Callithrix jacchus: one gene and its partner. The protein of the gene in region 2 interacts with the protein of the main gene of each other region in a pairwise test. Links are inferred from orthologs where the notes say so. Each region holds a gene or a part of one and is shown on either strand. Other genes may lie near its edges.

Region 1 (3,813 bases), on a different chromosome or scaffold from region 2:
CTTTGGCCAATGGAATGTGTGTGGACATGACACACCAAATCTGAGTGGAGGCTTCAAATATGCTTACATGATTTGGCCTGGTTTCTCATGCTCCACCATCTGCCATGAGGAGCACCCCTATGAGCAGTAACTACTGCCCCAAGACCCTGGGGCTCTGGATGAGTCACATAATGGCAGACCTGAACTCAACCCACACTTAGAGTAGACCCATTGCTAACAGACCACAGAATCATGGGCAAAAAAGTAAATGTTTGCTGTTCTAAGCTATTAAGATTTGGAGATGTTTGTTACCATAGCAAAAGCTGACTATTACATGGCTCACTTCTTGTATTTTTTTTTTTTTTTTATGACAGGGTCTTGCTGTATCTACCACCCAGGCTGAAGTGCAGTGGTGTCATCACAGGTCACTGCAGCCTAAACCACTTGGGCTCAACTGATCCTCCCACCTCAGCATCCCAAGTAGCTGGGACCACATGCACACACCACCATGCCTGATTTTAAAACTTTTAAAAAGTTTTTTGTAGAGACAGGGTCTCGTTTTGTTGCCTGGACTAGTCTCAAATCCCTGATCTCAAGCAGTCCTCCTGCAGCGACCTCCCAAAGCGTTGGGATTACAGGAGTGAGCCACCACAACCAGCCAACTGCTAACTTCCTAGCATCGCTAAGAGTGTTTGCAGACATTTCTCATCCCTCTCACAGTACCCTAGGAAGGTTCAAGCAATTTATTCCTTCTATGGAAATCACTTTCTGCCTGGGCATTCCTCCAGTAACTCCCACCTTCAACCTGGCTTCAAGAGAACCTGGTACTGAAGAACAGCAGTAAAAGGGAGCATTGGTCAAAAATGTCATTCTATACCCTAGTTGCAGGTGACCCAACCAAATCCCCACCCTCCTGAGGACAGACCACCTGACCCAAGGGGGACTCACATCATAGGTGACTTCCTCCACCTGGTCCTTCTCCATGAGAAACACTTTGGAGACCTGCTCACATGGGCCCTGGAGGATTCGGGCAATCAGCGGGTAATCGGTGGTCTTCAGCTTCTGTTTCTCTGCAATCACACACAACCAGGGGCAGCCCTGAGTTTGGCCTGAGGCCTTTCTCACATTAAGTAGTGGTCAATGCAGGGGTTCAAATGGACCAGGACCTTAGGAGATGCTGCCATATAAGTAAGGAGACTGATTTACAAATGAACTATTCCATAGATGTAAAAAGCAACCTACTCCCACTCCCCGCCCCTCAACAGTACCACCATGCCTCAAACCCCTTGGAGGAATTGGGTTTATCTGTCTCTTGAGAAAATCTAGTTCCTTTTTTAATAGGCAGTTAGGTTTAGGATTTTTTTACTGGCCACATAAGGCAATCCCCGGTGGACTCACACAGCAAGCCCATCAGCCTTGAAAGCAAACAACATTTGGAAGTTTCCAAAACCCAAACAACAAGAAAAGGAGACAGAGGTATTTTTTTAACTTGCTATTTTGAGATAATTAGAAGTTTTAAAGTACACTGTGTCCTTCAGACTTACCACCACTCGTATGGACCACGTACAAGGCAAACTCCTCTGCTGAATTCTCAATCTGAAGCAGGAACAAAAGATACTTATTGAAAGTATCTATTTAAACATCCCAACTTCGAGGCTTTTTCTCTTCTTTAACAATACAAAGCTAAGTATATTTTAGGCTGTTCTGAGGGGAGAGCTATTTATCTACAACTCTCAGAAGTGATGAGAAGATCGAGAAGGCAGATGAGTTTATCAATAATACAGTCATGCGCTTAACCAAGAGGATGCATTCTGAGAAAGCGCATGTTAAGCGCATGACTGATTTCATTGTTGTGCAAACATCACAGAGTGTACTTACACAAACCTGGATGGCAGAGCCTACTACACACCTAAGCCATATGGTACAGCTATTGCTCCTGGGCTACAAACCTGTACAGCATGTTACTAAACTCAATGCCGTAGGCACTTCTAACACTGGGAAGCATTTGTATGTCTAAACATACGTCAACACAGAAAAGGTACAGTAAAAAAATTGATTATAATCTTAGTAAAAAAAATAATAATAATCTTATGGGACCACTGTCGTATATGTGGTGCATCATTGACCAAATGGGTCGTTCTGAGGCACATGACTGGGACAGATAATAGCTGCCATCTATTGCAATATGCCAGGCATAGTTCTACAAGCGTTAAAGGTTTCAACCCATCTAATGCTCCTGACAGCTCCTGACAATACCATAGCGAGGTCCCATTATCCTCATTTTACGATGATGAAGCAGAGGCAGAGGTACGTTAAGTCGCCCGCCCAATTCATCCAACTCACAGGTGCTCAATGGAGATCTAAACCCAGAGCCTGTGCTCTTAGGTTGCTAGGCTACACTGGCTTCCATTAAAAATAAGAATACCTGGTCTCCAAGAGATTGTGGAAAACACAGAGCAACAGGACTTTAAAAGCACTCCTGCACTATAATTTGCACATCTATTTAAGTATCATATTTCATATCTCAAAGTAGGTTTCCCAGCTGTGTCCCAGAAGTCAATCTTTGCACTGAGCCCAAAACCAGTCATCAGGCCCTAGGGTCCTTCTAAAGTAGCCAGTAGCCCATGAAGGATTTGAGGACTGATGTTTCTCAAACTTTGGTAGGCACCGAACCCCCTCCCCTGCAGGTTTGTTAGACGGCGTCCCCGGCCTACCCCTCACAATTTCGGATTCAGTGGGTCTGGGGTGGGGACTGAGAATCTGAATTTCTAACAAGCACCCAGGTGATGCTGATGCTGTGGACCTTGTCTTGGATCATGAGAATCTAAAGAACCCAAGCCCTTTGCCCAGCATCCTGCAAACCATACCATTCCCATAACTCCCCGCACAACCACTCTAGGGGTCCCAAGGCACATCTGTGACCCTATCTGTGGCCAGCCAACAAAGGGAACTTGCCTTAAATTTGTTGAGCAGAAGCTTCAGGACCTGTGGGGTGGTCATGGTGCTATTGATGCGGACGTTGGTGACAGAGCCATAGGCTGGAGTGAACACGGATGTCTGTCAATAGAAGGGGCCAGCTCAGGGTGGGAGTGGGAACAAGGACCCAGTGCTAAAATCCAGGTGCGGTACAGGGCACAGTGACGATACTCACAGTGTACCCCCTGGAGCCCTCGGCAGCCTGGCAAGCAGCAGGCTTTACAGACAAAGCAGCCCTCCGGGTTTGCATAATTCAGTTCATGCTCTACACTCACAAAGACCCTTCCTCTGGGACTTCAGCACAAGGCTGTCTCTGACTATTCTCCCACCATGCACTTCCCTCCAGGGGTAGGATTTGAACAGAGCAGGAGGAAAGGAGGGGTCAGCTAGCTCGGGCAGGGTTGGTGGTGCACTGACACCCCCAGGACTGAGACCTGCAGCTCTGCTTCGGAAGCAGCCCTGAGCTCCAGGAAAAGCCAGACCATACACCAACTAGGGGCACAGTGTGCAAGAAGAGGGCGTAACATGGATTTTCTTGGGAGGGACTGAGAAGCTGTGTTTATGGGATCTTCAAGGATACGGCAGGGACTGCTTTGTATAACCCCACTGAATTCACCCACCACCCTAGGGGGGAACCCACAGGGGGACTCTGAGCCTTCTGACCTGGGGTCCCTCCACCCTCAGGAGCCAGCAGGGCTTGCAGCCCACCCACAACCCAAAGACTAAACAGCAGCACACACTTGGCTTCCCAGGCATGGCCATGGCTGTAGCCCTGAGGTGGCAGCTGCCCAGGAAGGGGTCCTCCCCCTCCCTGTCCCCCCATCCACTTTACCTTATGGTTGTAGAAATGGCCATTGA
Region 2 (3,813 bases):
TGGGGTCAGGGCTATCCGCCTTGCATGATCATACCTGCCACTTGGGGCCATTGCCCCAGCAACACCCATCTGTCTCCTTGAGTTCTTTCCTGCCTCTACTGACCTGGGAGAGCTAGAGGAAGGAGCAGAGATCCCTTTCCCCACAGTGGGCTGGGAGAAGACCCTCAGGATCCAACTACGGAGACCTGTGGGGCTGCAGTGGCTTTCCCTCCTAGGAGGCTCAGACCAGCTCCCCCAAACCTCCTGCACCCAGGCAGACACCAGTTGCCTTTGGTGAGTCCCCACTGTAAGAGGCAGGGTGTAAGGTAGCCACTCTAGTGTGTACCTCTGAGCCAGGCAGGAAGCAGGAAGGTTCTATAATGACGGCCTTGGAGAACCAGCCCACTAGGTTTCCTCCTGCGTCTCTTTACTAAGAAACAGCCTTTAAGACTTAAACCCAGGACCATCTGTGACTGGATTTTCTGGTGCCCCATCTGGCTAAACCCTGAAGAGCCAGTTGGTGCCAGCCACCAGCAGGGGGCAGTGTTTTTCTACCTTCTCCCTTCCTTTCCCAACCAGGTACGAAGTTCTGTGCCCTCTCGTCTCTGAGCACTGCACAATCGAAGGGGTAGGAAGGGAAGCAGCTGAGTCCTATTGTCCTGGCTTCCTGGGGGCCACGCTGTACCAGGCCCTTGGTCACTGTATATCATTTAATCACTTAGTTTACGTCGAAGCTCAGAGAAGTTAAGAGAGCTTCCCAAAGACACAAGCAAAAAACGAAAGGGTCAGATCTATTTCCGTAAAGCACGTGGAAGGCACTGAGGGCCCTGGCTTCCAGACCCCTGAGGCCTCTAGAGGCTGGAGGAAAGGGAGGACCTGCCAGGCAGTAGCCACAGAATTTAGAGGGCGGGCAGAGGTGCCAAACCCTAAGCAGGTGGTGGAGTGGGGGCGGTGAGGGGGGGCTCACCAGCTTCATGCCCAGGCAGTTCTTCTCTCGCGTGTTGTAGCTGTCGATCTTCTGCTTGATTTCCTGCAGTGTGGGTGGACGCTGTGTCTCCTCCACAGGTTTACAGACATTCTAGAACAGACACAGAGTGGAAGTGGGGGTGCAGTGGTTCTCAGGGTGAGAAAGGGAATGACCACGCCCTCCCCAAAGCCTCTCTAACCAAGAAGTGAGCACCAGCCCTGCAGAGTTGAACTAACTGCACGGACTCAGAGTGAGACAATGAGAGGTCAAATTGCAGCTGTGCCAGCATCTAGCTGACTCTCCTGGGAAAGTAACTCAGATTTCTCTAAGCCTCAATCTCCCCATCTGTGAAATGGGAACAATAACTGCTTGTCTTAAGTGTGAAAGTGTCTGGCACTCAGGCACTGACTGTGAATCTGGTGAACAAGCAGAGCTGCATTTGCTTACGAAGGGTTGCTAAAAGATGCTTCTTTGATGCTGTGGGAGATGCAAAATACAAGCCATGCTGTCTCCTCAAGGAAGTACCAACACAGCTGGAGGGACAGGCATCTACCCGTGATGCCAGTATATGCTGCTGATGGGAAGGACAAGAATCCTTTTAGATCTAAAGGACCAAGGACACATGGACGCCAGTTCAGGCCCCACATCACTTGCCGCAGTGCTTTTCACATAGCAAGAAGTAAGTATCTATTTGTCAAATGAATGAGTGAACTGGCAGGGATGAAGGGGTGGAGCCCTCCACCATAACAGAGGAAACAAACCGCTACTGAGCACAGGGACACCCAGCATTTACTTAGCACCTCCCCTGTGCCAAGTACTTGGCATACATTCTCTCATTTGAGTCTCACAAACCAGAAGTCTGCAAGATCGTTTATTAAGATAGACCCCATCTTACCCTATCTTACAGGTGAGACTATTGAGGCTAAGAGTGTGTACAGAACGAAACAGAAATTCCAGGTCTGTCCTGTTGAAGTCCTTCTGTGAGACCACGTGTTCATTCTCCTCATATGTTCCCAGATGCCTCCTCCTCCCACCCCCTGGGAAGGATAAGTGAAGAATGAAGTTGAGGAGATGGAGGTCAATGCCCTCACCTTGTAGAGAGAGTACAGGGGTGAATTCTGGGGTCAAAGCCACTGTCCCTCAGTCAGTTCTCTGGATCTCCCTCATATTCACTGTTACCCACTTCCCGGTTTTATCTTCACACTGTCCCTGAGTGGCTGGGAGTGTTGGAACAGGTTGGTCGGAACCCACCCAGAATTTGCCTGATATTAGAAGTATAGCAGACTTGGGGTGGATCAGGATTCTTTTTCAGCAAATGAGGAAACTGAGGCCCAGAGAGGGATGACTCTAACACCATCTGACACTGTCCTGTGGGTGTTTGGGTTTCGCTGGGGAATTTCAAAGCTGCTGTGACATCATACCACCACCCCGCAGGACACAACGGGGCCCCCGTGACAGAGCTTTGCCCTACCTTCCTCCCTTCAGCAAGCCGTGTGAGAGACACACCACCCTGACAACCTGCCATCACTTCCTTCTCACACTTTCCAATCCCCACAGAACCGATACAACATCAGGCTCTGGCTGTCAAGAGGAGCTGGCATGGCTCCAGCCTCCCGCCTCCAACCCCTCAGCTCAGCACAGCTGACATCCTCTTTTTTTTTTTTTGAGACGGAGTCTCCCTCTGTCACCAAGGCTGGAGTGCAGTGGCACAATCTAAGCTCACTGCAACCTCCACCTCCCGGGTTCAAGTGATTCTCCTGCCTCAGCTTCCCAAATAGCTGGGATTACAGGTGTGCACCACCACACCCAGCTAATTTTTGTATTTCTAGCAGAGATGAGGTTTCACTATATTGGCCAGGCTGGCCTCAAACTCCTGACCTCAAGTGATCCAGCCACCTCTGCCTCCCAAAGTGCTGGGATTACAAGTGTGAGCCACCGTGCCAGCTTCTGATGTCCTCTTTCCATCATGGCATCATTCTCTGGCCTGTTGCTCCTTTGTACTCTTCCCCAGGACTCCTAATCTATTAATAAGAGTCTGTGCTGGGTACTTTCACATACAGTCTCTTACATACTATGTATGTCATTCTTATTTTACAGATTACAAAACAGGCTCAGAGAGGTTAAGAAACATGCCTATGGTCACCTGCTAGTAAGTGGCTAAGCAGGAACTGGAATCAAGTCTAAAGCCCATGTTCTCAATTCACCATGTAGCCACCATGGGACAGCATCTTTTGCTGAAGGGGCTGGCCTGCCACACCCATAGTGATCATTGAAACTCCATGCTGCAGGGCTGGGATGAGCAGCTGTTAAACCAAGGCCTGTAAGTTACCTGATCTGTGAAATGCTCATCTAAGATATGTCTAAGCCATGGGTCAGGCCCCAGAGGCACCATGTCACCTGTGATGGTGTCACCTGTGATGGTGGGAAGGAAGAACTTCCTAACTTGAGTGAGATGCAGCCACCAAGAAGCAGGGCCCAGCCTTCTCCTGTGTGTCTTCCCAGGTCTCTGGAACTGAACCTTGATTCTGTTGCAGACCACACAAGGGCAAGCAGCCCTGGCCACTTGCTGGAGGTGAGTAGGAAGTAGTGTGAGCCTCATAGACTCTCTTCATTCACTGTCAGCCCGTTAACCCAGGGACTCTCACAATGAAGCCTCTCATTCCCCATCCCTTCCCTTGGGTAGCTCCCAAAGCTTCCCAGCCTCAGTCCTCGCCAGCTGAACACGTGTCTGTGGCACCAGGTGTGCCTGGCCCTGGCCTTACCCCCATCCCACCTTCCCTCTGGAAGCTTCCAGTTGGAAAAACACCGTTGTCTGATTACTATTATACACTCCACTCTCTCTGAAGCACATAGGCTGTTGCTCCTCA

What was found.
Region 1: the proteins of RASSF5 (region 2) and RASSF2 interact in binary tests that used the Homo sapiens proteins (3 or more experiments, as listed by UniProt). The link is inferred for Callithrix jacchus from reciprocal best matches to the Homo sapiens genes RASSF5 and RASSF2.

What each region holds. Positions count from the first base shown.
Region 1 is NC_133506.1:12,241,597-12,245,409, forward strand, and holds part of RASSF2 (ras association domain-containing protein 2), read right to left. Parts: coding exon 3,788-3,813; intron 3,037-3,787; coding exon 2,935-3,036; intron 1,576-2,934; coding exon 1,524-1,575; intron 1,050-1,523; coding exon 928-1,049; intron 1-927. UniProt on the Homo sapiens protein: Potential tumor suppressor. Acts as a KRAS-specific effector protein. May promote apoptosis and cell cycle arrest. Stabilizes STK3/MST2 by protecting it from proteasomal degradation.
Region 2 is NC_133520.1:34,086,116-34,089,928, reverse strand, and holds part of RASSF5 (ras association domain-containing protein 5), read right to left. Parts: intron 1,058-3,813; coding exon 947-1,057; intron 1-946. UniProt on the Homo sapiens protein: Potential tumor suppressor. Seems to be involved in lymphocyte adhesion by linking RAP1A activation upon T-cell receptor or chemokine stimulation to integrin activation.